Notamacropus eugenii: one gene and its partners. The protein of the gene in region 1 purifies or fractionates together with the protein of each later gene. This does not show direct contact. Links are inferred from orthologs where the notes say so. Each region holds a gene or a part of one and is shown in the gene's direction. Other genes may lie near its edges.

The links.
Region 2: the proteins of PCNA (region 1) and CCND1 purify together in Homo sapiens (affinity purification with western blotting; 5 studies listed by BioGRID and IntAct, with this or other methods). This does not show direct contact. The link is inferred for Notamacropus eugenii from reciprocal best matches to the Homo sapiens genes PCNA and CCND1.
Region 3: the proteins of PCNA (region 1) and POLA1 fractionate together in Homo sapiens (co-fractionation; 3 studies listed by BioGRID). This does not show direct contact. The link is inferred for Notamacropus eugenii from reciprocal best matches to the Homo sapiens genes PCNA and POLA1.
Region 4: the proteins of PCNA (region 1) and XRCC1 purify together in Homo sapiens (affinity purification with western blotting; 3 studies listed by BioGRID, with this or other methods). This does not show direct contact. The link is inferred for Notamacropus eugenii from reciprocal best matches to the Homo sapiens genes PCNA and XRCC1.

The regions. Positions count from the first base shown.
Region 1 is NC_092872.1:632,582,281-632,589,749, reverse strand, and holds the start of PCNA (proliferating cell nuclear antigen), read left to right. Parts: upstream 1-4,465; 5' UTR 4,466-5,030; coding exon 5,031-5,251; intron 5,252-5,857; coding exon 5,858-5,955; intron 5,956-6,043; coding exon 6,044-6,111; intron 6,112-7,187; coding exon 7,188-7,382; intron 7,383-7,469. UniProt on the Homo sapiens protein: Auxiliary protein of DNA polymerase delta and epsilon, is involved in the control of eukaryotic DNA replication by increasing the polymerase's processibility during elongation of the leading strand.
Region 2 is NC_092873.1:21,909,715-21,916,914, forward strand, and holds the start of CCND1 (G1/S-specific cyclin-D1), read left to right. Parts: upstream 1-4,198; 5' UTR 4,199-4,452; coding exon 4,453-4,650; intron 4,651-5,890; coding exon 5,891-6,106; intron 6,107-6,815; coding exon 6,816-6,975; intron 6,976-7,200. UniProt on the Homo sapiens protein: Regulatory component of the cyclin D1-CDK4 (DC) complex that phosphorylates and inhibits members of the retinoblastoma (RB) protein family including RB1 and regulates the cell-cycle during G(1)/S transition.
Region 3 is NC_092876.1:452,201,451-452,208,444, reverse strand, and holds the start of POLA1 (DNA polymerase alpha catalytic subunit), read left to right. Parts: upstream 1-3,988; 5' UTR 3,989-4,133; coding exon 4,134-4,176; intron 4,177-6,994. UniProt on the Homo sapiens protein: Catalytic subunit of the DNA polymerase alpha complex (also known as the alpha DNA polymerase-primase complex) which plays an essential role in the initiation of DNA synthesis.
Region 4 is NC_092876.1:25,376,933-25,384,773, forward strand, and holds the start of XRCC1 (DNA repair protein XRCC1), read left to right. Parts: upstream 1-4,822; 5' UTR 4,823-5,001; coding exon 5,002-5,052; intron 5,053-5,109; exon of another isoform or gene 5,110-5,199; intron 5,200-7,841. Other genes in the region: PINLYP (phospholipase A2 inhibitor and Ly6/PLAUR domain-containing protein), read right to left, coding at 1-17, 829-898. UniProt on the Homo sapiens protein: Scaffold protein involved in DNA single-strand break repair by mediating the assembly of DNA break repair protein complexes. Negatively regulates ADP-ribosyltransferase activity of PARP1 during base-excision repair in order to prevent excessive PARP1 activity.

The DNA.
Region 1 (7,469 bases):
GACCCTGAGGTAGAGCTAAGGAAGGAATGAATTCCAGACATGGGAGATGACCAGTGCAAAGGCATGGAAATGAGAGGTGGGCTATCTATCAAAAAGGAATAAAAAGGCCATTTTTGCAGAAGTAAAGTCCAATGAAGTTGAAAAGATAGGTTGGAACCAGGCTGTGAAGGGCTTTAAAAACTAAACAAAGGAGCAACAACAAAAAAAGCTGTAGGAAGCCTTAGTATCTGATTAACAGAGCCACATAGTCACATTGACACTTTGAGAAAATTTCTGTAGCAGCAGTGATTGTGGTTCTGGTCTGCTACCATAAAGGAGACTTTTTCATTGGCTGGGGATTCATAACCAGAAGTGGAGAACATTCAAGGGGTGCTAGTTCATCTTCTCTAGGTTGGACTAGAGAATGGACCAATCAATAGGCTGATACAATAATCTAGGTAGGAGGGGAAAATGATCATTTGCATAGCTCCTACTAGGTAGATGCTATTATTAGCTCCATTTTACAGATGAGAAAATTAAGGCACTTAAGCGTCTTGCTCGGGATCATACAGCTAATAATAATAACTAACATTTACATAGTGCTTACTATATTCCAGATGCTTTGCAAATATCCCATTCGATCCTTAAACAATCCTGTGAGGTAAGAGTTACTATTATCATCTTCGTTTTACACATGAGGAAACCCTAGGGTCACACAGCTAATAATTGTCTATGATCAGATTGGAACTCAGATGTTTCTGATTCCAGGCCCTGCACCCTCAGCTGCCTCTAGGTTGATAAAGTAGTCACTGCGTGAGTGGAGAAATGTTGTGGAGGTAGAAATGGCGAGATTTGGCGACTAATTGGATAGATAAATGTAATGAAGAATGGGCAGTCAAGGGTAATTTCGAATTTACAAACCTCTGAGACTGGTACCTTTGACAGACATAGTGAGGTTTGGAAGGGGGGGTTTGGGGAGAAAGATAATGGGTTAAGTTTCAGACATATTGAGGTTGGTATGTCTTGGAAAGAATCAGTTTGAAATGTTCCATTAGCCACTGGTGATGAAGGACTGCAGCTCAGGGAGAGATAGGCTAGACATTCTTATCTGTCAATCTACATGGAGATGGTAATTAAAGTTATGAGAGTTGATGAGGTTCCCTAGAGAGTGTAGAGAGAAAATAATACCCCTGCTACTCATAGCATAGCCTTCCGAGCCTATTACCTTTCAAATACACTCAATTGTCTGCATTAAGAGTTGGAGATATATAGAAAAAAGTGAAAATAGTCCCTGAATTCAAAGAGCTTACATTCTACCATTGGGAAACAGATGGTGTTTTGCATTGTTCCCTAACTATACTATGTAGGCAGTGAGAGCTACAAGAAATCCTAGAGATCATTTCTGGAGTCCAGTGCCTTTCTTTTTTTGTCATCTGTAATGGGATATGGGCCAGTGAGTCCCAATGCCTACGAGCATGTGTAAGGTACATCTGATGCAATCTCCACAAGGACTTAGAGAAGAAACTCTGTAACTGGTTCTGGTCTACTTACCATAGAAGAATTTTTAACTGGCTGTGGCTTCATAGTTCAGAGTGAGGAGCATTGAAAAAGTATCAATTAACCAGAATGTGCCCTTCCCTAGGCTGACTTCTTCCTGTTGGGTGACCTTCTGGTGAGAAGGGAAAGACAGAGCTATAATGAGAGAGGCCTCAGCCACTCTTTATCCGAGTTGGACATATAGGTGGAATAAGCAGAAGTTAGAAAGCTTAGAAAAAATTGTCATACTAAGCAATCTGATCTTTTAAAATACAAAACACCTACATCTTCCAGACTCCTCAGGAAAGTTTAGATGAATTAGTCTTTTAACTCATTTATATCTTTAACTATACTATTATTAGTTTTCAAGTTTCATTATTATAATCTATAATTCATTTTTCATTCTCAAGTCTCCTTGTCATTTTCTTTTAAAATTTATTCTTAACATTCATTTTTAAAAAAATTTTGAGTTTCAAATTGTCTCCCTCCCGCCTGCCCCCTCATTAAGAGGGCGAGCAATATGATATCAATTATTTATAGGAAATCATGCAATACATATTTCCCTAATACCCATGTTGGGAAAAAAAGGAAGAAAAAATAAAATGAAAAATTATGCTTCAATCTGCACTCAGTGTTTATCGGTTCTCACTCTGGAGTAGATAGCATTTTGGCATCATAAGTCCTTCAGAACTGTCTTGGATCATTATAGTGATAGGAGTAGCTAAGTCTTTCACAATTGATCATTGTTATTTTATTCCTTTTACTATGTACAATGTTCTACCGGTTCTGCTCACTTCATTTTACATCAGTTCCCAGGCTCTTTGGAAACTACCTTGTTATTTCTTGTAACACAAAAAGGTTCCATCACAATTATATATCACAACTTGTTCAGCCATTCCCCAATTGATGGGCATCCCCTCAATTTCCTTTCCTTTGCCACCAAAAAAAGAACTGCTATAAATATTTTTGTACTTATCGGTCCTTTTCCTTTGATCTCTTTAGGATACACACCTAGCAGTGGTATTGCTGATTCAAAAGGTATGCACTGTGATAAATTATAGCCCTTTAGGCAAGGTTCCAAACTGTCCTTCAGAACTGTTCAGTTCACAACGCCACCAATAGTGCATTAGTGTCCCAATTTTTGTGTAGGAATACATTTAACTCAATAGTGATACAGTAAGGAACAATATAAGGGAAAAAAGATATAGGGATGGGAAATAGAGGGATTCAGGGAAGGATTTGCCATAAACAAAACAAACCCTAAGCTTGGAAAGAAGGGATCATGAACAGGAGGTTAAAGGAAAGAAAGAATAACAATCTCTAATAAAGTGAGTTTGAGGAATAAAAATGAGAAAAAAAAGAAAATAGAATGGAAGGAAATAAATATAAAACTATCTTGAATGTAAATGCTTGACTGTGGTTATGTGATACAGGGTTCTTTATTTCTTTTCTCAGTAGGAGGGGAGGTAGGAAGGAGAAAAAAACGCTTGATTATAGAAAAAAAATTTTTCCGTATAGCTTTAACAGTTATGTGAAAGATGTATTATAGACATGAAAGGAGCAATATAGATAAGGTGAAAGGTGACAAGGACCAGAATTAGGAGGGTGTCCATGTCAATGGAGAGAAGGCGATTGATGTGAGTGTGGAGGTAGAATTGAAAAGACTTGGCAACTGAATGAATATATGATGTCATGGTGAATACATGATGAAGGAATGGAGGATGCCTCCAAGGCTGAAAACCTGGGTGACTAAAAGGATAATGGTGCCCCCACAAAAACAGGGAAGTTTGGAAGAGGAGCAGGTTTTGAAGGAAAGAGAATTAGTTCTGTTTTAGTGATGCTGAGTTCTACATGTCTGTAAGACATCCAGTTTGAAATGTCCAATGGCAGTTGATGATGCAGGGCTGGAATTTGCAATATATATCTGGGAGTCGTCTTGGTAGAAACAAAAATTTAATCCATGAGAGTTCATGAAGTCACTAAGAGACAGACTGTAAAGCAAGGATTCCCAACCTCTTTCTGGCCCCCTATCTGGCTTTCAATAAATCCTTCGGTACCTCCTTTCAGTATGAAAGGAAATAAATTCTAACGTTTACTATGCATATGTACGTACAAATAAAATGTAGAGATGAATTTTCCATAATGAAAATTTTATTTCGCACATACCATTTTTAGCATTATAGTTACACTCTCTCTTCAAAACTATTTTTCCCCACTCACACTACTTCTTTGGGAATATTTTAAAGGGATAATAGTTACTTACCAAATAATTTCTTTACCCTGTCCTCGGTCTCCTAGCATCCCCCAAGAGTCAACCTACCCCAGGTAGAGAAAGTGTGGGGTGGAGAGAACAAAGCCTGGGGGCGGAAGGCGCTGGAGAATGGGGCAAGGAGACGCCTCGGTACCGAGCCTCCGTGACTTTGGGCCAGTCACCTAATCTCCCTTGACTTCAGTTTCTTGATGTCAAAGAAAAGGGGTGGGAAATGAAATCCAGCTACGTTCTCTCTCTTCCAGCCGCGGACACACAGGTCCACTTGGTTTAATCCAACAAGCCACCCGCTAAAGGCATACAGAAAGAAAGTTATTGGTACCTAAGAGTTTAAAAGAACCTTCCTCACTGGATCCAACCTTTCCATTTGACGGATGAGAACCTAGAGAACGGGAAGGGGCCAAACATCCCCTGCCCACCAACTGGCCAGAGCACGTCCATGGTTCTTTAAAAATTACAAGTCCTTGGGTGAAGGTAAGGTCTTTCTGTTGTGTTCAGAAACTTGCCAGCAAAAAAAGGTCGTGGCAAACGTTACTGCCCATTACCCTAGAAAGAAGGAACGTGCATTATCCATGCTTATCGTGTGCCACGCACTGTAACGTACTATTTTTTCTGATTAAAACATGAGTGAGCCACGGCTTGTGGAGCCAAAGGACCCGGGTTGGAAGGCGTTTTGCCACTTGCTACCCATGTGACCACCCCGGGCAAGTCATTTCAGCTCCAGGAGGCCTCCGCTTCCTCGTCTGTAAACTGAAGGGATTAGATGAAAGGCTCTCCAAGGTGGCTTTCAGCTCTAAATCTCACTGTCCGAGGAGTGAGCCACCTTCCTGGAGTGAGGTTTTAAACCAAAAATAAAGCCCCCGGCCCCAAACCAAAAAGGATTGAGAGGAGGTGAACCTGAACAAGCCCGGGCAACGAGGAAAGGCGGGGTAAACCTGCTCCCTCTGATTGGCTCAGGAGGTTTAGGGGGACCTTCGCGATGGGATTGGTCGAGGGAGCACCAGTAGCGTTAGGGAGGAGGCGGGCGGTTACGCCGTGACGTCATAGCGGCTTGCCGGCGAGCGCGCGAGGCGGAGCAGCGGAGCCTCATTTGGTTAGAGGCGGCGGTGGTGAGTGCGTCTCTGCCCCCGCTTCTGCTCCCGGGCCGAGGACCTCGCCTCAGTGGGTGAGCCCAGCCCTGTCTTCCCCTCGAGCCTAGGCCGCTTGGTTTTTCCTCGCTTCTGCTCTGGTATCGCTGTTCGCCACCATGTTCGAGGCAAGGCTCGTGCAGGGCTCCATCCTCAAGAAGGTGCTGGAGGCGCTGAAGGACTTCATCAATGAGGCCTGCTGGGACATCAGCTCGGGCGGGGTGAACCTGCAGAGCATGGACTCGTCCCACATCTCCCTGGTGCAGCTCACCCTCCGCTCCGAGGGCTTCGATACCTACCGCTGCGACCGCAACCTGGCCATGGGCGTTAATCTCACCAGGTGAGCTCGGGCCTCCGGTGCTGTAAACACAGTGTTCCCTCCCCCCGCCCCCGGGCTTCTCCCCGGGTTCTTGGCGGGAGCGCAGCCGAGCGAGGTAGTTCTTGCTGCCCGGGCCGGGGAGCGGTGGGGGGGGGGGAAGAGGCGGACGCGCCTCATTGGTCCTGGCGGCGGCAGGGGGCGGGGCCGGGCCGAAGCGCGCGGTTTGGGGAAGGGGAAGCGCGCCCCGGCCGCCTCCCGCCAACGTCATTTCGGCGCCAAGCTCACAATGCGGTCGGAGGGGCTGTGGCGGGAAGGCTTGCGTCCGATGCCCTCTATTTAAAGTGAAAAGCATGTCCGCTCCACGAGAGGCCTCGTGGCCGGAGCGAGCCCGGCCGAGGGAGGCGGCGGCGGGGCGCCTGTTAGGGAGGGCCGGCGGGCTGTGCTGCTTAACAAAAACCGGGATCGGCGTTCGGGTAAGGAGGGAGATCGGCGGTGCCTCCTGCCACCGGAATGTGCCTGTTTACGTCCACCGTGCATCTGCGTGTGCCCCGTTACAGGGCCGGCTGTAACCCCTCCGGGGCTTTATCGATGAACGTGTTTATTTACTGCTTGTTCTCCGTTGTCCAGCATGTCCAAAATACTGAAATGTGCCAGCAACGAAGATATTATTACCCTAAGGGCCGAAGACAATGCAGATACGCTGGCGTTGATCTTTGAGGCACCAAGTAAGTTTGTCCTATAAACGCGTACCCCGCTTTTTAGTTATAACACCAATACTGAAATATAAAATGGCATCTTGTGTTTTATTTGTAGATCAGGAAAAAGTTTCAGACTATGAGATGAAATTAATGGATTTAGATGTTGAACAGCTTGGAATCCCAGTAAGTATCGGAGATTTCTTGTCATATGTCTCATTATAATAGTTAAATAAAATTAATATGACCAAAGTCAATCTCTAATACTTATATATTTAGGTTCTAATATGTAAAGAAAATTTTTGGCATGAGAGAAAATCATTTTTAATAATGTGACATTCATTTTAACTTAATATGTACTACATTGTATATCTATTTAAAGAAATAAAGGGTTAAATAAGTCTAAAATCAGTGTTAAAATTCTTTGATTTATTAAGAATGAATAATAATAACAAAAATAATACAGTTAGGATTTAGAGCTAGAAGCCAATTTAAAAGCTTATTACCATACAGCAAAGCTAAACAAGTTAAATGTTGCCTGAGGTCGTAACTGAGAGTAAAGATTTGAGCTTCAGGTCTTTACTCTCCAAAACATTGGTTTCTACCACACTAGACAGCCTCTTTCCTCTTAATTTCCCTTCATTCGATCTCTACTATAATATTTGTATCTTAATTTTTAAGCTCATTAGACTTTTTTTTATTAATAACAGTTTATAAGGAGCTTTTCGTAGACTTTAATCATTTCCAAGGAAATATAAATTCTTATTATCTTCATCAAAGTAGAAAAGTGATTGGATATTAAAATTTCTAATATAAAAGTAACTAATTTTTTTTGGAAAACAAGTTTTTGTAAATTATACAGCTACCCATATACCCTTTCTGTGGCCCATCTTTATGTATCTAACAGGGCTGTTAATATTGATAATCTAGTATCTAGTAGGGTGACTGGTATCGAAACTCTTGGTCATTCCAGAATACATTCAAGAAAAATAGATTTGGCTACTCATAGCTATTAAATAGTTAAAATAGAATTAAATGTGCTTTTCACTTCCTTTTACATCAAATATTCCTTGAAAAGATAGTTGTACTCTTAAGCTTTCCTAAATAAATTATTTAATTGTCATAACTTAATTATCTTTTTGGAGTAGGTGTTATTCAAAAGAATGCAATTTCATAGCTCTTAATTCTTTCAGCAAATGAGATCGATGACATCTAAATATTTAAACTCCTAAATCATATTCAAAGCTGTTTTTGTATTACAGGAACAGGAATACAGTTGTGTGGTCAAAATGCCTTCTGGTGAATTTGCACGAATCTGTCGGGATCTCAGTCATATTGGAGATGCTGTTGTAATCTCATGTGCAAAAGATGGTGTAAAATTTTCTGCCAGTGGAGAACTAGGAAGTGGAAATGTAAAATTATCACAGACAAGTAATGTTGACAAAGAAGAGGAAGCTGTAAGTCAAATTTAAATCTTGAGAAAATAATTTAAGTACAGTGAATTAGGATATTGGTAAAGCAAAACCTATCCAGAGTTGAATAAT
Region 2 (7,200 bases), on another chromosome or scaffold:
TGCAAAGAGTTAAAAACCTGCTTGGGAAAATGGGCCGGAGGAGGAGCTCCGGCCGAGGCTGCGGTCCAGCCTCCCCGGCTGCTCAGGGGCGAGGCGTCGAGGATGCTTAGGGGGGCCTCCCTGCTGGGGTCTCTCTACGAACCGAAGGAGGCGTTTGGCACTCTCTGGTGCGATGGCGATGGGAACCGTGTTCGGGGTGCGGGCTCGAGGTCCAGGAGCCCCGGCCTGGGACACTTCAGCAGCTGCTCGACCCCAGGGACGTCGCTTCACATCCACCTGCCTGAGCCTGGAGGCTCCGCGGTCCAGGGATGGGAAAGGCACTTTGCAAGCCTAGAACCGCTCCAGAACACTCCCGTCGGGGGTTAACAGAGGTGTCATTACTACGGCCTTGGTGCAACCTCCGGGGGCTCGGGGCTGCGCGGAGCCGAGAGGAGCCCCGACGGCCACTCCCAGAGAGGGAGGCGTTCGGGCCGGTCCCGTCGCGTCCCCGCTGGGCCAGGGCGCGCCTCTTGCAGGCATTACGGTAGGCGGCGGTGATAAGGGCACCACGTGGCCTGGGGAGCGGAGGCACCGGCTGGAATGCCCGGAATGCGCCGCGCTGCCTCTTAATGAGCGGAGCCCGAGCCTCAATTAAAGCGATAGCCGCGCGCGCTCGCCGCTCCCGGGGCCGGGCCGGGCCGAGCCTGGACTGGCCGGGCCTAGCCGCGGCCCGCTCCCACGCGGGCAGCCGCCAGCCCCCGAGTCCCAGCCCTGCCCACGCGCGATGGGGGGTGGGTTGTCGCTCCCTCCCCTGGAACTTCCTTAAGCTGAGATTTGCATGACTCGCAGCGACGCCCCCTCCCCGAGTCCCCGCCCCCGCCCCCTCTCAAATTCCTAGGTAAAGGATGCGAAGGCTCTGGCTGCAGAACAATGCCCCGGAGATCAAGGGCAGGACCCGGCAGGCCCCGCCGAGGCGGGGACGGGGGCAGCGGCAGGGGCGCTGCCTTCGCCCAGGCCGCCGTCGGGGACGGGGAGGGACGGAGTGACACAAACGGCTGTGCGAGGTTATGGGGGGGCGCACTCTGGGCTGCCCCCCCAGCACCACCTCCTCCATCCCTCCCGGTGACCCTGGGCACCCACGGGCCCTCGCCCGGAGGAGGGAGGCTATGAGTTCTTACTCCGGGTCGGTTTTATGAGGCCCCTCCCGTCCCAGCGGGGAGGGCAGGGAGGGGCTGCAGGAGGCCCCCCTCTAATAGCAGCTTATCGTGCCCGACTGGGGAGGGGAAGACGAATGGGGGTCCCCAGGCCCCCTCTTTTGACCCCAGCTATGTTGGCAGAAGAGACGGACGCCACCATGTGCTCCCAGCGAGCCCGATCCCGCACACAACCTTGGGGACCGGGGACTTGCGGGATAGGTCCCCGAAACTGCGAGTCGACGGGAGGGTGGTGGGCGGTGAGGGCCACACCCGCTCCCTGAGGCATTCTTCAGGAAAACTCAGCTATGGACCTGGGATGGGTAGGGGTGGGAAAGCAAAGCCTTTAAAGTCGCCGTCAGGTACACGCCCGCAGGTGAGCCCACACCCCCCACCCACGTGGGGAGCGGCGGGTCTTTGGAAGGCTTCCTGTCTAACCCAAATGGACCTGGAGTTGGGGGAAAAGCGTCTGGCCCGGGGGACACCCGCACCCCCAGCCTCCCGCGGGGTGGTCCCCGGAATGTCCCCATTTCGCTACCTGCTGGCCCATCCCATCGTTTCCTTGATCCTGTACAACCCAGCGAAGTCAGACACACAAGAATCCGCCTGAATTAACTCTCGAGTCAGAGTTGGGGTCGGATGGGAAGATCGTTTTAATTATGCTCTTTCTGGTCAGTAAACGAGGTTTCCCCTCCCGTCTGGGTCGTCAGTTCATTGTCTCCCGGGAGCCTCTCCTTATCCCCCCCACTACTTGTAGTGCAGGACATCCCCGTCGGGTCGAATTGGAAAGGGCCAGCGCAGTATGAAACGGAGAAAATAAAAAATATAGACTAATTCTCGGTATTCGGGGGTCTCTGCAATCCTCTTCTTCTCATCCCCCCACTCCACTTCCCAGCCCCGGGTGCTTTGGGAGGTCGGCCCACGCGGGGTGTCAAGGAACTGGCTGGGTGTACTCAGCGCTTCCCAGCCCCGGCTTCTCCTTGTCGCCCCCCAAGAAGGGCCGCACCGGACCACAGAGCCTAGACGGCCCAGGGGAGCTCGGCCTTGCGGCCCGGGTCTTCACGTTTTTCCGCGCACCGTGCACTTTAGCGCCGGTCCCTGGGTCCGGGCCATGCAGCCTGTTAGTTCCTCGTTGAGATCTGCCTGATCCGCCTGGTAACACATCTTGTCTCCTATTGGCTAATGCTAATTCCAGCTTCCTCTGGGGTTTCCACCCAGCGAGGGGGGAAAGCTCCCTCCAGGAATCGGCCTCGGAGCCGGTTGGGTGGCCGGGGGCTAACTCCGGGGGCGCCCACGTCGCGGTGGGGCTCGGGGGTCTGTCGCAGCCCGCCTGGGGCCCTACAGTTTAGCGGGGCAGTCCCACGGCCGCGATTTTATGAATGAAAGAGTGGCGGCGCTGACGTCGGGCCCCGGCGTGGGCGGCGCGGGGTGGCCGGCTCCACGCCGCCGAACCGTGGCCTCCTCCCCAGGCCTCTGAGCCCGGTGGGGAGCCCACCCGTGCTCGAGGCTACGCGTGGCGTTCCAACACCCTAGGGCCCTCGAGGCGCTCCAAGCCCTCCGAACCCTTCCCAGGCTCTGCCTGCGGGCCCCGGCCCGGCTCAGTGAAATGAACGGGATCTCGAAGGAAGGTGGGAGAGGGGCCCAGACTGGAGGGGGGCGTGTGTACGCCCCTGGGCTGGAGAAAGCCCGAGCGCCGGTCCACTGCAGACCAAGGGAGGAAACACGCACTTATTGAGCTCCTTCTGAGGCGCTGTCAGGCACATGGAGCGAGCCACGGATGAGCTGAACACGTTTTGTTAATTTCTTGTCCACTCCCTTTGAAACCCACCAAAGTCCTCCCAAGACTGTGCCCCTGGCCAAACTGGGTGCGCTCCCCCTGGCCACCCCGCGCTGACGGAGGGGGCCCACCTTGAGCCTCTTTCCCCTCTTCCCTTTCATTCCCTTTTCTTTTTCTTCTTTTCTCTTCTCGCTCTCTCCTTTCTTTCTCTTTTATTGATCTCTCCTCCCCCTCTCCCCTCTCAATCTCTTTTCTGTTTCTTTCCCCCAGAAGGAGGCAGGACGGAATTTTGCCGCCTGCCTGTGGATTCAGAGGTTCGCTGCTGAATTCCCCTGAGTGGGGAGGGGAAGAGAGGTGGAAGGAGGCCGGGGGAAAGGTGGTTTGCCTGGAGTTCCCTCCCTCCCTCCCCTGGCTAAAGTCTTCCTCTTAGTACTAGGACAGGCCAGAGGAAATGCTGACCACCATTTTGTTGTCCCGGACTGTTGTGGCCCTCTTCGGGGGCCAGAAGAGCTGGGGGTCCCACGCCGGGAAGTGTGGGCTGAAACGCTGTCTTTTCCAGGGGAGGATCGCTTGCAAGGGAGTTGCTGGCCTTTTGTGCCCAGGCACGCATACATGCGGGCGTTCTAAGAAGCTTCCCAAGTGTCTACAGCAGTGAATCAAAATGATTTTTGAAATCGAAGGGGGAAAAAGGCCTCGCCCCCTGCCCCCGCCTCCCGATCCCCTTTAGCCCCTTTGGTCATCGGCTAGCTGGGGCGGGGGGCTGCTCGCTAAGAGTTCACGTGTCTGCCTGGCCGTCTGGCTGCGGGTGGCCTGGCCTCCACCAGGGTCTGTCCCACGACTCAGGACCAAGAGCTGCCCTTTACAAAGCGCGGGGGACCCCCTCCTTCCCGGCTCCCCCGCACCCCTCTCCGTACTTCCCCCAAAGAAAGCTAGTCCCGGAGTGATTAGCATTTCTATTCGAGCCCGGCTTCTGTGGGAGCTGGGCTGGCCCAGGCGAGGGGCTGGATGGCTTTAAGGCTCGGCCCCTCGGCCCCCCTCGCCTCGCCTCCCCCCGCCCCCGGCCCTCCCCCCGCTTCCCTCTCTCCCTTTCTCATTCTCTGCCGGGCTTTGATCTCTGCTCGACAACAGTCACGTCACTGGGACTTACGGGAGGGGAGTCGGGCGAGCTGCAAAGTCCTGGAGCCTCCAGAGGCTGGAGCAGCAGTAGCAGCGGCGGCGGCGGCGGTGGCGGCGGCGGCGGCGGCGGCGGCGGCGGCCGAGCAGCCCGGCGGCACCCGCAACGTCCGAGCCTTGCGCTCCGCACCGCGAGGCGGGCCCCGAGAGGCTAGTCCCCAGCCCCGCCGGCCCGGCCCGGAGCCCCCCGCGCTCCGCACCGCGAGGCAAGCCGCAGCCGCAGCCCGAGCAGCAGCGGGCTCCCGCCGTCCAGCCCGCCGCCCGTCCGTCCAGCGGTCCGTCCGTCCGTCCGAGCACCGGGAGCAGCCCGCCCGCCCGCCGCCGCCGGCCATGGAGCACCAGCTGCTGTGCTGCGAGGTGGAGACCATTCGCCGGGCGTACCTCGATGCCAACCTTCTCAACGATCGGGCGCTGCAGACCATGCTCAAAGCCGAGGAGACGTGCTCGCCCTCCGTCTCGTACTTCAAGTGCGTGCAGAAGGACATCCTTCCTTACATGCGCAAGATCGTGGCCACCTGGATGCTCGAGGTTGGTGGGGCTCCGCCGCGCGCCCCCCGCCCCGCCGGGGCCGTGGGAAGGAAGGGACCCGGCCGCCCGGCACGGCACCGCACGGGAGGGCAGCCCGAGGGCCGCCGGGCTGGGATGGCCAGGCGGCTGGCCGGGGAGCCCGGGGCCGGGGGGGAGGGAGGGGGCAGGGGGGGGATTTTATTTTAAATTAATATCCAAGGACACGTATGCAGGGGCTGCCCGTGCCAGTATTCCGCGCCATCTTGCGCATTTATAGCGAAGCAGAAGTGTTTATTAATAATGAGGAGGGGGCACGCGTGGAGGGGGCGCGGGGGCAGCCCGGGCCAGCCGCTCCGGGAACTGTGCCCTCGGGTGGGTAGGTGGGAGGGGGGGTCCTGGCCTCCCGGCCGCAGCCAGCCGCACTGGGCCAGATCGCGGGGCCCCGGGGCCGGAGCGCGCTGGGGCCCCCGGGGGGGCTCGAGATGGGCGCGGGTGGACCCCGGGCACCCTGTCCCCCATTGTCGGACACACGGCCGGCCCCCCTCGGGCCTCTGAGTATTTTTAATTAATTTCCGAAGGCGCGGCCGCTGCCCCGGCTGGCAGAGAGGCGGGCGGCCGCGCGCGCTGCGGGCACGGGGGGGGCGTCCCATTTCGGGGCTCCCCACGTGCCCCCAGCAGATCCTACGCGGTCCCTGAGACCGGGGTTCGCTCACGCTTCGCCCGGGGCTCATTGTCAGCGGTTTTGTACGTGCCGGGCGATTTTTTAAATATTTTTAAATATTTTTTGAAAAGATGACGTCTGGGGAAATGCGGCCGCCGCGCCGCCTGCGTGGGGACGCCGCCACCTTTGTGTCTCGGGCCACGGCCGCTGGTCCCGGGGCCGCCAGGCCGGCCGCCCCCTCCCCTCGGGTGGCCTGGGCCCAGGGTACCCCCCAGGGGACAGGGGAAGGAACCCCGGAGGAGCCCCCCCACATCCCGCCCCACCCGTGCCCCCCCACTCCCCCCTCCCGCTCCCTTGCCCTCTGGTCGGCCACTTTTCCTTTCAGTTTCTCGGGCCTCGCTTTTGTTTTGGGTTTTTATTTGGGGGGGCAACTTTGACTTGATTGGTCTTTCTGCACTTTCCACGGCCCCCTCCTCACGGGCCCCTCCAGTCCCGCTGGGTGGGGATGGTGTCTCAGGGATCGCAGGCCTTCTGTTTCTGGGGGGCGGGGAGGGTTGGGGGTCCCTGGCGTCCTGCTTCCATCCCCCTTCCCACCCCCAGGTGTGTGAGGAGCAGAAATGCGAAGAGGAAGTCTTCCCCCTGGCTATGAACTATCTGGACCGGTTCCTGTCCCTGGAGCCGCTGAAGAAGAGCCGGCTGCAGCTGCTGGGGGCCACCTGCATGTTCGTGGCGTCCAAGATGAAGGAGACCATCCCCCTGACGGCAGAGAAGCTGTGCATCTACACGGACCACTCGGTGCGGCCTGAGGAACTGCTGGTAATGATGCCTGCTGTGCCCTAGCTTCCTGGGGGCAAAGGGGGGTGGTCGGGTGCCCCTGGGCCTCGGCAGCAGACCTGGATGCCCCTAACCCTGGCCCAGCCTGCTGCCCACCTAGGTCACAGCTTGCAAATTGCATTGACCAGCCAGCCCCCAGAATTGCAAGCTGCCCTTGGGAGGGGGTGTCCTCTCTGCTGGGTTGGGGGGGTTAGGAATGGGGCCCGTGATCATTCCCCAAGGAGAGAACCCTGGCTGGGCAGAGACAGAGCGCGAGCCCTTTTGCCTACTTCCAGCCCTATCCCTGCCCTCCCCCAAGATGCGCCCCTGCCTCACCCCCCCTTCCCTTCCCTTCCCTTCCCTTCCCTTCCCCTCCCCTCCTCCAGCCACCACGTTTATACCGAGCTAACGTGGCCACAAAGTGGGCAGCGGCTGCCCTCTAGCGGTGTCTCCGCGTGCTCGCGGCTCCTGAGCCTGGCTCCTCTCCTTCCAGATGGTGGGAGGTCCTTTTGTCTGAACTCCTGGAAACAGCACCCCCCCTTCCCCCGCCCGCCTCCCGTGGTGACCGCTGGTCATCCGTCCCTAGGAAGCCTCCTTCCTTGGGTGGGGGAGGCGCAGCCCCCTCTCCACTTCCATCCTGGCATCCATCCCCAGGGGCATACTGGGGCATCCCCTCCCCCTTCCCTGCACTACCCGTGCTCTCTCCTTCTAGCACATGGAGCTGCTTCTGGTCAACAAGCTGAAGTGGCACCTGGCGGCTATGACCCCCCACGATTTCATCGAACACTTTCTGTCCAAGATGCCTGCGCTGGAGGAGAACAAGCAGATCATCCGCAAGCACGCGCAGACCTTCGTGGCGCTCTGTGCTACAGGTATGTGGGGGCGTGAGGCGCCGCTGACCCACTTGGCACTGGGAGGCTTACTCAGGCGAATGTGCCCGGGGGTCCTGTGCTTGGGCACTCTCCTTCGCCCTGGGAGTGCCCACCGTTCACAGGGATGTGCCAGCCCACTTGGCATCAGGCACCGGGAGGCTCACTCAGGTGGATCTTCCCAGGGCCGGCCTGCTTGGCATAGGGCAGCAGGAGGCTCACTTGGAC
Region 3 (6,994 bases), on another chromosome or scaffold:
TCAAGATTCAGCTCACATGCTACAAGATTTCTTGTTAGTTATGTTGCTGTTCAGCTATTGTTTTGGTCACATCCAATTTTCTGCTACCTCATTTGGGGTTTTCCTGGCAAAGGCAATGAAATGGTTTGTCTTTTCCTTCTCCAGCTAATTTTATAGATGAGGAAACTGACACAAAGAAGGTTCAGTGACTTGCTCAGGGTCCCACAGTCAGATCTGAACTCAGGAAGATATCTTTCTCAATTCAGGCTTGGCATTCTATCTACTGTACCATATAGCTGTCCTTCTTATTGCTTATTCATTCCTAATTTTTCATTCCTAGGAAAATCAGTCTGAGACAAAAGAAAAAGAATTCATATTCTCATTCGGTCAACTAGCATTTATTAAATATCTACCACATATCAGCACTGTGTTAAATGCAAGTCGTCAAGAAACAAAAAAACTGGATTTGGACAAAAGACACAAAATTCAATGTCTTGGTTAGTTTTTTTCTTGCTGTGAGTCAGAAGAAAACAAAATATACAAATAAGTTTGTATTTGATAAGCTTATGAAACAGAAACTGTCATGCTAATTTAGAAATATCCTTGTCTCCTTTCATACTGAGCTCCAAAGAAGAAAGACATGCAGGGCAGTTGGGTGGCAGCTTTCCAAACTATGAGCCACATGAGTGATGACTAAGCAGAAGTACCAAAGAAAGAAAATATTGTCGCCATGGTGGCATCAGTTGCCCTTGTTGGGGTGAGGGAGAACCATCTGCCATGTGGATAAGTTTATCAGGGAACTGCTGTTCTTCTCCATCAAGAATGAAAAATGGCATTCTAAATCATCACCTAAGAGCCATGGGTAGATAACCGAAGTTTAAATATTGGAATACTATTGGAAGGAGCTTTTTTATAGCCTTGACGGATGGAAGGCTGTCCTACTGAACACTTCGAAAACAAAATTCTTGCTACCAAAGTCCTTGGCACTGTCAAATGGGTCAACATCAGACATGGGGATATGATTTTATCAGTGGAAGTGACTTTATTTTTTTAAAAATTCATTTGTTTTCAGTTTTCAACAATCACTTCCCTAAGCATTAAATTTTCTCCCCCCCCCCAGATGGCATGCAATCTTATATGGGTTCTACACATACACAGTTATTAAACACATTTTCACATTAGTCATGTTGTATAGAAGAATTAAAATGAATGGGAGAAATCATGAGAAAAACCAAACCAAAACAAAACACAACACAAGAGAAAATAGTCTGCTTCATTCTGTGTTCTGATTCCATAGTTCTTTTTCTGGATGTGGATGGCATTTTGCCTCAAGAGTCCTTTGGGAATGTTTTAGGTTCCTGTATTGCTGTGAAGGGCTAAGTCTATCAGAAACAGTCCTCGCACACTGGGGCTATTACCGTGTACAATGTTCTCCTGGTTCTGCTCATTTCGCTCAGCATCAGTTCATACATGTCCTTCCAGGCATCACTTGCTCCTCATTTCTTATAGCACAATAATACTCCATTCCATTCATATACCAAAACTTGTTCAGCCATTCCCCATTGATGGGCATCCCCTCGATTTCCAGTTCTTGGCCACCACAAAGAGAGCTGCTATAAATACATTTGTATGTATGGGACCCTTTCTCAATTTTATGATCTCTTTGGGATAGAGTCCTAGAAGTGGTATTGCTGGGTCAAAGGGTATGTACATTTTTGTAGCCCTTTGGGCATAGTTCCAAATTGCTCTCCAGAATGGTTGGATCAGCTCACAGCTCCACCAACAATAAATTAGTGTTCCAACTCTTCCACATCTTCTCCAACATTTGTCATCTAGTGGAAGTGACTTTAAACATCTTTGACAATTTGCTTTGTTCCCTAAAGATCATGGGACCTTTCCATCAGACTCTTATCTGAAATCTCCTATGTATGTGGTTACTCCCATTAGAATGTGAGCTCCTTATATAAGGAAATTCTTTCTGTGACTCAAGGGGACTTACAACATACAACACTCTACTCTGGGTCAGGAAAGTGAGTTCAAATCCTGCTTCAGACACTTATCAGTTAGGTGGCCCCTTGGTTTGGTCATCCATAAAGTGGGAAAAATAGTAACATACACTTTATAAGGCTGTGCTGAGGTTCAAATGAAATAATATAGGTAAAGTGCTTTGTGAGTCTTAAAGCATTCTCTAAGTGCTAGCTATTATTACCATCCTTATTATATCTCAGGTCCAACATCAAAACAGCATGGGGATTCACATGCCGATGTACCTTACAGGTTCGCATGTTGTCCATTAGATTATGACTGCCTTGGGGGCAGGGACCGTCTTTGGCCTGTTTTTGTACATCCGGCCCTCGGCACACATTAGGAGCTTAATAAACGTCTACTGATTGATTGACTAAACTCAGGGAGCTCTCCAAGAGGCTCATCAGGCATTCCCTACACACCAGCGGAAGCTCAGGTCAGACACAAAAAGGACAGTTAAGAGTCTGTGCCTGGCATTGCGCTGCGGACTAGGAACACAAAAATAAGTCTCCTATTTGTACAGTCAAAGGGTTCGATGTGATTATCTCTAAATCTCCTTCCAGGTCCTAAGGCCTGTACCGGCTTGAGACAGGGCAAGGGGAAAGAGGCTGGGGCTCGGCGGGCATCGCGGACGTTGGCCACGGGGATGAAGGCGCTGGGCTCAGTGGGCACCACGGACGTTGGCCACGCGGATGAAGAAGGCGCTGGGCTCAGTGGGCACCATGGACGTTGCCCACGTGGATGAAGGCGCGTGGGCTCAGTGGATGAAGGCCTGTGGGCTCAGTGGGCAAAGGCCTGTGGGCTCAGTGGGCACCGAGGACGTTGGCCACGCGGATGAAGAAGGCCTGTGGGCTCAGTGGATGAAGGCGCTGGGCTCAGTGGGCACCGCGGACGTTGGCCACGCGGATGAAGAAGGCCCGTGGGCTCAGTGGGCACCGCGGACGTTGGCCACCCGGATGAAGAAGGCCCGTGGGCTCAGTGGGCACCATGGACGTTGGCCACGCGGATGAAGAAGGCCCGTGGGCTCAGTGGGCACCGCGGACGTTGGCCACGTGGATGAAGAAGGCCCGTGGGCTCAGTGGGCACCATGGACGTTGCCTACGTGGATGAAGGTGCGTGGGCTCAGTGGGCATCGCGGACGTTGCCCACGTGGATGAAGGCGCGTGGGCTCAGTGGATGAAGGCCTGTGGGCTCAGTGGGCACCGCGGACGTTGCCCACGTGGATGAAGAAGGCGCGTGGGCTCAGTGGGCACCGCGGACATTGGCCACGCGGATGAAGAAGGCCCGTGGGCTCAGTGGATGAAGGCCTGTGGGCTCAGTGGGCACCGCGGACGTTGCCCACGTGGATGAAGGCGCGTGGGCTCGGTGGATGAAGGCCTGTGGGCTCAGTGGGCACCGCGGACGTTGGCCACGCGGATGAAGAAGGCGCGTGGGCTCAGTGGATGAAGGCGCGTGGGCTCAGTGGGCACCGCGGGCGTTGCTGACCCTGTAGATCGTCCCGGCTGGCTCCGGGGAGCACGTTCTAGGCGCAGGGATGCTGCGGACAAGAGAGAAGACAGGCGGAGAGGACAAAGTCCAAGTGCAGAAAGAGGAAGGGCAGGCGCGGGGCGCTGCCCTCGAACTGACCACCACCCCGTCCGTCTAACAATAAAAGAAAGGATCTGGTCGCACTCAGTGTTCGATAGGGTGAAGACCTCCGCATAGCAGCCAGGGCCCCCCCAGCGCGCGGATTCCGCCCGCCCGCGCCTAGTTTCAGGGAAGGCGAGTCTTAGAACCCGAGAGCCGCCCTCTCCAGGCAGGTTCTCGTTCCCTCCCGCCCTGGACCAACTGCGCATGCGCCCCCTGCCGGCCTTCTTTCAAGCGCCCGGCCGCTTTCTTTCTCCGCTCTCGGCCCAGTCTGAGTTTCCCGCGGGTCTAAGGACTCGGGAGCGCGCCGAAAGCCGGGATCTGGAGGAGGAGGCGGCGCTAGGGCGGGGACACGGCCGAGAAACGCCCGGCGACCCCGGACTTCCGGGCGGAAGTCGGCCGCCGTCGGCGGGCGCTGATTGGCCGGCGGGGCGGCGCGTGTCTCTGCCCCCGCGCCAGTTTCAGCGCGTTGGCGCGGAATCCTGAGCCGGAGCCCGTGGACCATGGCGCCGGTGCGCGGCGCGGAGCGCGAGCCCGGGAGCAGCGGTGAGGACCGAGGCGTGGCCGGGGCCCAGGGGGCCCGGGGCGGGGAGGGTGGCGGCGGCCCGAGAGGCTCCGGCCCCGACCGGGGCGAGCGCTCGTGGGGGAGGGGGAGCCTGGAGGTCTGGGGAGTGGGGAGGGGGCGGCGGAGAGTGCGGGCGCGGTGGCCGTCGGTGGCAGCATCACCAGGTGGCAGACCTGCGTCTAGGGACGCGGGAGCCCCGAGGCTCCTCCTTCCTCATCCTGCCCTGGGGGAGCTGGGGGCGGGTCCGCTCCGACCGCGCTGGGCGTCCCCCGCTCAGGCCGCAGCCCCCGGACCCCGAGATCCTCAAGGCCGGTGCCTTGGTTTTACAGACGAGGAAACTGAGGCCCAGCGATGAGGAATCTGGGGCAGGAGCTGTTTCTCGGGCACCTTTCGGTCTCTCCGCCGCACTCCTTTTCCTCGACCTTCTTTCTCGATGTAACTGGAACTTTGGGTGTCCCTGTGGGGCACCCCTAGTGTCCTGCACGTTGTGCCTGCGCGCTCCGCCTTAGGAAATGAGCTTTTATTTTTTCATTTTTTTGCCTGTTTCACTCCAGTGGTGTCTCTAGAACAGCTCAGCAACATCCCGTTTGAATCTGGACCAGACGGTGGTCATTATTTCTGCACAAGTATATCCCATACATTTCCTAAGTGCCATGCCGAGGAAAAGTGTGTTCTGGCTTCTAAGGGGATAGTTTTCCACTTTATGCATTTTAAAATGGTTTTCAGATTCATCCAAGGAAAGGGGGGTAATAATAATGTTTGCCCTCTGGTCGTTTACTAATATGCTTAAAAATAGTGGTTACAAGTTAGTGCTCATATTTTAGTATTCTTTTATCAGAGAAATACTCCGGAATGGATATCTTGAATTCCCTAAAATAGAGTTGGAAACTGCACAATTACCCTAATCCAAATAACTGGATTTTCAAGTGAATACGAGTTGTCAGGAGTCTTGAGTCTGTTTTCCTTCTAAAGATCCGATGACTGACGGGCCTTTGCCTTCCTGGCCCAGTGTCTTCATCTCTTGTCAAATGGATACTTTCTTACTAATGAAAACTTTCTAATCAGTTTCAGTTTCATTCACCTACTTGTAAATTACAGATGTCAGTTTGCAGCAGTTGCTACAGTGGAGACTGAAGCCTTAAGACAGTGTGGTAGACCTCGTTGGTGTGGGGAACTGTCAGGACTGCATTACAGAGGAAATGGATGAACGTGCATCCTGACCTGTCACTTAAGCAGTGATTTGCTGCTAAGCTCTTCTTTTATCTTTTAAAAACTGAACTTCATCAGGGAGCATCAAAAATCACTGCTTGGGTGATGCTGTGCAATCTGGAAACCCCTCTTAAGTTATGGGCTGTGATTATGTTGCTTTGATGGGCTTGTGACTAGAATGTTTCCTTTGGAACATGCTGAAAGATTCATTTATTGTGCTTTTTTCTATAGCCTATCTATAGACTTTTCTTTGGGGGTGCCCCAGATGGTTCTTTTTAATCCAGCATTTGTGATTGCTAGAATCAGCCATTTTTTTCTATTAAAAAAAAATTTATACGTGTGAAGAAAGTGTTTAAAAAGAGGAAGGAGAATTATTTGTTTATGTTTAAATTGGAGAGTCAAGGCCCATTGTTTTCCATAGGTACTAGAACTTAGGGAAAGTGAGATATAGCTTGAAAATCTTATAAGCAATTGTTTACCTAGATATGATTTTTTTTACCTTGCTGGAAAGATGTAAAGGAAAGTTTATAGTAAAGCATTGACTGTAAGCTTCTGATTATTCCTGGTGCTGTACTAGGTGTACTAGTGAGAGAATTACTAGGTAATAATGGCTAATAATAACAGCTACCATTTATGTAGTGCTCTGATGTTTTGTAAGGCACTTAACAAGTATCCTCAACAACAGCCCTGGGGAGGGAGGTGCTGTTATTAGTCTCATTTTACTGATGTGGAAGCTGAGGCGGAGTTGTGAAATGACTTGCCCAGCATCCTACAGATAATTAGTGTTTGAGGTCAGGTCTTCCTGACTCCAAGTCTAATGTAAAACCCATTGTGTTACATAGCTGCGAGATCAAGTTCTTATCCTCTCAGGCACACACGTTGACAGAACTCTAGGTATAGGATCCATCTGTCCATAGCAGCTCAGGCATACTTTAATACATCAAAAGACCAGGGATTTCATCCATGTGACTAATTTCTTGCAAATGTAGATTGCAGTTTTCACATGTAGTACAGGTTTCATGAATTTCTGTGTTTAGAAAAATTTGTAACTTGGTAGCCAAACTTGTACTGATGAGCTTCCTGGGACTTAGCTAGATTGGTCCTTGATTATATTGGCCCTGGTGGCATTTGTGTTCCACTGATAGGTTCTTCAGGACATGTTATGTGCTCCATGTTGTGACGAGTCGTTGGAGGACTTCAGAAGAGGAGCCCACATGTGCAAGGAATTTTTTTGATGTTTCACTGAGATGCCTGATCTCATTTTTGTGGGATGATGGCACATTTCTCTTCAGTGGCAGAGAATGCAACCATCTGTGCTTTCTTATTTTGCGCTATTTTTTCCCCTATCTTCTTAAAATTCCTTCATAGTTTGTTTACCTAGTGTGCTCGAGGGCTTGCTTTAGGTCTTTTAACATTAGTAGGTACTAGTGACACAATTAGGCTGTCTGCCCAGTAGTCTTCATTGTCACCATATAACAGAACCATCTCCTTTTCTGGTCTTCTATTTCTTCAATAATATCTTTATACCATACCTTGGGCTTGAGTCATTATTGGTATTATCTTGCACAAACGTTTGAACTGACAGTAGAA
Region 4 (7,841 bases), on another chromosome or scaffold:
ACAATACAGAGACTGAGCTGAGGGGAAAGACTGGGCCATCAGGACCCCTGGGTCTCTGAGGAGGCAGAAGCATGGGCAACCAGAGACCTGGATCTCTGAAGGAATGGGCTGGGGGGATTAAGAACCTTGGATGTCTGAGGGGACATGGATGGGGGGATCAGAACTCTTGGGTCTCTGCTGGAGATCTGGATGACTGAGTTCCTGTGATGACCAGGTCCTGTGACCTGGGTGGAGCAATGGGGGAGTCCCTGGACACTCACAACCAAACTATCCCCTGGCGGCAGGAAGCCACTCAGTCTGAGGCTGCATTGTGTAATTACATGGCTGGGGACGCCTGAGTCCAGAATTTGGACTGGAACTGGAGGGGGATTGTTGTTAGAGGTTAGAGGGCAGGTACTTCTTTGGGGCTGGGGGAGGGGGCAGCTGTCACGGACCCAGGAGCTAGCCCTACTAGCCATTCTTGTTAGCTCAGGGGGGTCCAGGAATGAGGTACCTGAGAGCATGAATGATCAAAATGCCTAGGTCCCCAGTGTTCTGGTGATTTTGTACCTAGATTCCTAACTCCCTGAGGGAATGGAGGACTCAAACATTTGTCTTCCCCCAGGTGCTGGAGGCTCAAATGCCTAGATGCCAGACACCAAAGGGACTTCCCTGTAGGATGGTCCCCTGTAGGACCTCTGGAAAGAGGTCCAGAGACCTGGATCCCACTGAGAGAAACATGTTATGAAGTTACTTTCCTGGGATTCTGGAACCCTTCCTCACTTCTATCCCCTCCCCAGATCCTAGAGTCCAGGACCCACAACCCAGGGGTGCTGGGGTGGCACTCACCAAGGGGCAAAAGGGTACAGAGCAGGCTGAGGGCCAACAGGCCCAGCTGGGGGTTCCTGGTGATCCTCATGATGTCTGTTCCTAGATCAAGGCCCACAGGCCTTATAGAAGGGCAGTGGCAGGGGGAAGGGCCAGCCCAATCCCTGCCCCTCCCCCCAGTCTGGTCCCAGTTACCAAGATAACCTTAGAGGATCCTGGGACCCATACTCCTTCCCTCCTCCCTGTCCTTGGTCCATCTTCTACCATACAGGATGGCAAAGCTTGGGGGGAAGAGGCTAGTGTTGGGAGGAGTCAAAGTCCCAGGGTCCCTCCTTCTCTTTTGCCCAGTTTTCTTAATGACTCACACCCTACCCTGCCCAGCTTCTCCAACCAGCTTTCCCTTGCCCAGCTTGTCCCTACACGTTGATGTGGGGGCCAGGATGTCTGGGTCCTTCCACCCCCAAGACCTGCTCACACTCCTGTCTTTATGTGCAGAGTTCTTTACCTGCTGCCCCCAGACTTGACCCCTCCCCGTGATGGGGCAGGGTACAAGTCCCTGGGGGAGGGTGGGGACAGGGGGAGCCCCTAGTCACTTCATAGAATCCTCCATTGTCAGAGCTGGAAGGGACCTTGTAAGATGGAATGGCAGAGAACCTTAGAACCTGGAATGTCAGAGCTGGGAGGACCCTTAAAGGTATAACCTCCTCATGCTCTAGATGGAGAAACTGAGATTAATCTCAGTAGATTCCTTCCTGTCTCAAGGCCTCAGTTTTTCCATTTGTTGGAGAGATGGAGTCTAAAATCCCTACCAGCTCAAAATCTACAATCTCATAATTAAGATGGCAACCCAAACTGGGGAATCCTATGTTCTGATGATTTCCCATTCACATACTGCCATTGCCCTGAGCAAATCACATTCTCTCCTTCCTCTGTACCTGTAAAATGGGATCATTGATGCTTACCTCATGGAGCTGTTTCAAAAGAGCTTGTAAGCTTGGAGAGACTGAAGTGACTGGGAGTTCTTTGTCTCCCATAGCACACACCCCCTCCCCCAGGTGTCTGAAAACAGGTGGGGAAAGGGAGGTTGTAACATGCTGGGGAAAGGGGCCACTCACACATGGAGGAACACCTGAGAGCTGAAAGGCTGGTGAAAACCAGAGAATTTGCCATCAATGGATGGGAATTTTGTGCCCTGCCTCAGTTTTCATCATATGGCCAGAGCCAAGAGCAGCAGCAGATTTTCAAGTGATTCATCAGGCCAAGGAACAGGGGCATGACTCAAGTTTTGTTCCACAGAGGGCATCTTGCTCTTGAAAAAGTGGCAGAAGTTGGATGTTAGGTCACTGTAAACCTTGGACCAAAACTCTGGATTTACACAGCCTGGGTTTGAGCTTGGGGGTGGGGGTGGGGAGTTGGTTCATGCTGTCCACCTCTACTCCCTCCAGGTTCATTCTGGGAAATCTCAGAATATACTTCCTGGCTAGGGTTCCACAGATGTGTATAAAAGGGTCTCTCAAATCCTTTACAAGCACTCAAGGTAGCAATACATTTACAGGAGATGCAAGACAGCCTTCATTTCATTCAGTCTGTCAAACAACCAACTATATGCCAGGCATCAAACTAAGTACTGAGGATACAAAAAGAGGGAAAAGACAGTCCCTACCCTCAAGGAGGGCAGGAGACATACAGTCTAATTGGGGGGGGGTCAACCTAAAAAGGAACATACAGAGCAAATGATATACAGATAAATAGTAAAGAATCAACAGAGAGAAGGCACTGGGAGTAAGAGGGGTTCTATAGAAGGTGGGATTTTGGTTGGGACTTCAAGCCTGAGAGGTCAGTTGGAGTGGAAAGGGGCTCAGTATCAGTGGATTGAAGGGTACACGTGGAGGGGTAAGATGTAAGAGGACTGGAAAGGTAGGAAGGGCCAGGTTATGAAGGGCTTTCAACCGCAAACAATGCATTTTGTATCTTATCCTAGAGGTAATAGGGAACCACTTGAGCAGGGGAGGGACATTACTGAATCTGTGATTTAAGAAAATCATGTTAGTGGCTGAAGGGAGGACAGGCTAGAGCAGGGAGAGATTCTAAGCAGACCACCTTCCACCCCAGCAGTAATAGTCCAAAAGTGAGGTAATGAAGGTCTACACCGCTGTGACAGCGTAAGATGAAAGGAGGTATATTTCACCCCCACAGATAATGCAGAATTCAAAAATTAATAGCCAACATAAATATAGTGCCAGGCACTTTACCAATATTATCTCATTTGATCCTCACAACAACCCTGGGGGGCAAGTGCTATTATTAGCTCCATTTCACACATGTGAAAACTGAGGCAGTCAGAGCTGAAGTGATTTGCCCAGGGTCTGAGGTTGGATTTGAACTTAGGTCTTCCAGACTCAGCGCTCTAAGCACCGTGGAGTCTCTTTATTCTAAGGTCTGAGTCGTCTCCAGAACGGGAACCATTTCCAGGCAGGGGAGTCGGGGCAATGCCCGGAAATTCTGATGACTGTTTTCCTCGGCAGAGATACCTAGGCCTCGCGCAAGAGGAAAACACACCTGAGGCGAGCCCCGCCCCCAGCCCCACCTACTTAACCCACGCTACCCTGATAGCTGGGTCACCTGTGGCTGTTCCCCGGACTCCCGCGAGCCCTGTCCATGGTGCCCTTCTTTTCTCTACAGCTTATTCCTCGTCTTTTGACGGCTCAGACACCCAAGGACCCCCTCATCTTCCCAAACTTGAGCTCACACAAGGCAGCTCCCAAGACCGGTGTTCCCCAGGACCACCTCCACCCCGATGGTAGCTTTCAGGCTGGATTCTGGAATCAGCCCCCGTCCTAGTTATGGTTGAGGTCGGGTGTAAAAAGAATCTCCGAGAAAGACTTTTTTTTAGCTTAAAAAAAAAAAAGCAAATAGCAAAGATTCAAAACAGTTAAAGGAAGCGCTCGGTGGGGTCTGGGGTGCCCGCAGGAGGTGGGGGAGGGGTTTGCACCCGAGGGGCGAGTTCGATCCGCGTTATTGACATCTGCTCCCTCATTTAAGGGCTCAAGCCGCGACGTGCAGCCTTGGTCCATTTCCAGGGTGAACAGTTGGCCCCAGAGGGGGTCATTGCGCGCCCCCTCCTCCAGGAAGCTCCTCCTGATCTGCCCCCCAGAATTACTTTGTATGTATTGATCTATGTACAAGCTGCACCCCCATCCACAAAACCTCCCCAAGGGTAGAGTTCAGGGGGCGGTGAATGGTAAATTAATAGCTGGGCCTGTAAATAGTCTGTCGTCAGAGGGCACCCTTCACAAAACCAGGTCTAGCTCTGGGTGGGGAGGTACTGGGTTCTAGTTATGCCCTTTGCTGTGTGACCTCAGGTAAGTCGCTGCCCCTCTCTGGGCTCGAATCCGATGACGTAGGCTCAGCTTCAGATGCCTGGGCTGGATCTGAGGCTGCCTGGGTTTAATGGGGCTCGGAACGGGTCTGCATGGCCCCGCCCACTCCACACCTGCAAGGGCTCCTCCAAAACTAAACTGGGCTGAGCTGGGGTGCAGCAAAGCACTGGGATCCTTCGACTTGGGCAGCGAGGAGGAGGCGCCCTCGGACCACGCCACCCAATGGGAAAAGAGAACAGGGATGCAGTGACCAATAAGAATGGGCTCCAAGCCCAGGAGGCGGGAAATGAGGGAGATGGGCGGTAAGCTCCTGGGGGCGGGTCGGCGAGAGGAAGGGCTAATTAGGTCATACAAAAGGGGTGGAGCCAGGGGAAGGCGGCCATAGAGAGACTGGGCTAGAGCGGGGTGTCGGAGGGGGCGGGGCCGGGGAGAGGAGAGGCAAGAGGAGCGGATAGAGAGGCCAGGAACAAAGGCTGGCTATTGGAGGGACAGCCCAAGGAAAGGTGGAATTGGGGCGTCAGTCCGGTCATGGGGCGGGCTTAGAGCAAGGACGGGTCATAGAGAGCGAAGCCTAGAGTGGCCACGGGCGGGGGGAGGTGGAGGGGGGACGGAACCGGCCGGGGAAACAGTGGAGCAGGGCCAGTGCGCCTGCGCGGCTGCGGGGAGCGCGCTCCCGACTTTGAACAGGCCCGGGAGTCCGCGCGCCTGCGCACTAGTGCTGCCCTGAAAGAGCGGCCTCTTCCTTCCCAGGCTGCGGCCTGGTCCAGAAGCCTTGGATTCTGAAGTCTCATCGTTCCTGGCCCCCAGACCCACCATGCCCGAGATCCGCCTCCGCCACGTTGTGTCGTGCAGCAGCCAGGATCCGGTGAGAGAATCGGAGGAGGGGGAGGAGGCATAGGTCTCTGCGGACTTCCGGTTACGGAGGCCCGGCGGGAGGGACTTCCGGTTATCTAGGGGACTCCAGGAGTGTCTGTAGGGGCCACCTGGGATTGTCTAGCGAAGGCAGTTGGAGGTGTCTGGAGGAAGCGCCTTGGGTGTTTGTGGGGGGGAGGGGCGTCTAGAGGAAATACCTGAAGGCGTCTATGAGGGTGTCCATAGGAGGCACCTGGGGGTGTCTGTGGGGGTGTCTATAGGAGGCACCTGGGGGTGTCTGTGGGGGTGTCCAGAGGAGCCCCTGGGGGTGTCTAGGGTCGTATCCATAGGAGGCACTTGGGAATGTCTGGGGGGGTATCTCTAGGAGGCACCTGGGGGTGTCTAGAGGAGTATCCATAGGAGGCACTTGGGAATGTCTGTGGGGGTATCTCTAGGAGGCACCTGGAGGTGTCTAGAGGAGTATCCATAGGAGGCACCTGGAGGTGTCTAGAGGAGTCCCTGGGGGTGTCTAGAGGAGTATCCATAGGAGGCACCTGGGGGTGTCTAGAGGAGCCCCTGGGGGTGTCTAGAGGAGTATCCATGGGAGGCACTTGGGAATGTCTGTGGGGATATCTATAGGAGGCACCTGGAGGTGTCTAGAAGAAGCACCTCAGATATCTATGGGGATGTCTAGAGGAAGCCCCTGGAGGCATTTATGAGGGTGTCTGTAGGAGCCCCTGGGGGTGTTTATGGGGGGCACCTCAGATGTCTATGGGGTCAGCCTGGGAATGTCAGTGGGAAGCCCCTAGGCTTTCTATGGGATGGCTTTGGGGTCTACCTGGGGGTGTATACATGACATTTATCATGTCTGTGAGGGTTCCAGGAATGTCTGTAGGGGACTTTGAGGGTCTAATGGGGCACTTAAGTCCTTGCTATGGACAGAGGATATGGTACATCAATAGAATCTTCAGGAATGACTTTATTACGGGAGGCTCTAGGGGTGTCCATAGGGGATACTGAGGACGTCAGGAATGTCTCACCAAAGGGGTTAGTAGCAGACATCTCTGAATATCCATGGGAGGTTCAAGGAGGCCTGGGGGCCTCTGCCGGTGTCTGTGGGCACCCTCTCCCCTCTAGAAGGTGATGATCACAAAGAGCCAGCTTTCCAGGACAGACCAGAGGTTTGCTAGGTGCAAACCAGAGTCTACCTAGATTTGGGTGAAGCCTCCACTGTCTTTGCCATGTTGTGGACAAGGTGGAGAGTAGTGTCCTCACTCACCTGGAGCAGCTTCAGAAGGGGCTGAGTGGTCACCCCCAGTGGGTGGTCTTGAAGGCACTGTGGCACCCTGGGGGAGCCCCAGAATAGGTACTCTTTCAATATTGCATTAATGACTTTGGTCAAGAATTGGCTGGCATTGTTGATTGTCAGGGCAGATGATGCAGGGCTAGGAGAGACGGTTAACAACAGCCATCAGGAGGGACTCAGAGAGTTCCTGGGGGCAAGACTGTGGGCTGAATCTAAGGGTGACATTGTCCAGGGGTCTGTCAGGTCCTGCCCATTTCTTCCATGCCAGGCAGGGATGCAAATGCAAAGAATGATCCATCCCTCCTCTTGAGCAGCTTATGCTGTAGTGGACATGTAGTTTGTCTTTACAGAATAAATATAAATAGGGAGACACTTGAAGCCATGTGTGGGTCCCAGAGGACCTAAGCTGGGCGGCAGCTTTTCTGAACACTCTGATAGAAAAGTTCCTAGCATCCTTGGAAGCCAAGAAAGCAAATGTGATGATCTTGGCCCAGTGCACAGGAGGACTGGGCAGGGCTAGGGGTGGGGGTGGGGGGCAGTGTAGGGGGTCCTGCTGCCCTCTGGCCTGATATCATTGTCTTCAGGATGGTGGTTAGTTCTTGGCACCCCAGCCAAGGAAGGACATAGATGAGTGTCTACTAGGAGGCAGCCAGGAGGCTGAATTGGAGGAGAGATGACCTGTCCAGGGGTCTTTGAAAGCTATCTCTAGACCCGTTTAACCCCTGGGGCAGAATAGGAGTTGCCAGGATGGGCATTTCCACTTCCTGACCGCTGAAGGTAGTAAGAGGACCGGCTGACCCAGAGGGTGGGGAGCTTCTGAAGGGAAGCTGGATGGATGACCACAGCTACTTGTTGGCCCCATGAGGCCAGGACATTCCTGCTCAGGCAGCTCCTGCTACCCCTTCAGAACTTGGGGATTCTATGATGGTGGGCTGGGGCAGTGGCATCTCTTGGGGATTATCAGAGGGAGCAGGGGAGTCGTGGAATATCTTGGTGATGTGTCTGACACTGAGGGGCCCTGCCGTGAGTGTTTCATGGGGTCTGGATGTTTGGGGATAGGGGAGCAGAGGGTGGCTCTGGAGGTATCTGTAAGGGATACCTTGGAGGGCGAGCTGAGGTTATCTGTAAGAGCCATCATAGGATTCCATTAGGAGATATCTGAGGGAGAATGCTGAAACTCTCTGGGAGGGTGGGGTCCAAGATTGTTCCTGGAGGATTTCTGAGCTGGCTCTAGGGACCCCTGAGACTCTGACCAGGATACATCTAGGGACATCTGTCAGGGCTGCTTAGTGCAGACATCTGTTAATTGGGAGGGGGCTTTTGGTTGTTTATAGGGGACACAAAGGTATTTGTATAGTCCGGGGGAACTTTATGAGTTATCTGTAGGGACAAATAGAAATAGTTATCACTTGGAGCTTCTTAGGTTTTGAGACTATCTCGAGGTGCCATCTTGGGGCGTCCCAAGGGAACATCTAGGACTCTCTAGGGGAACTCCC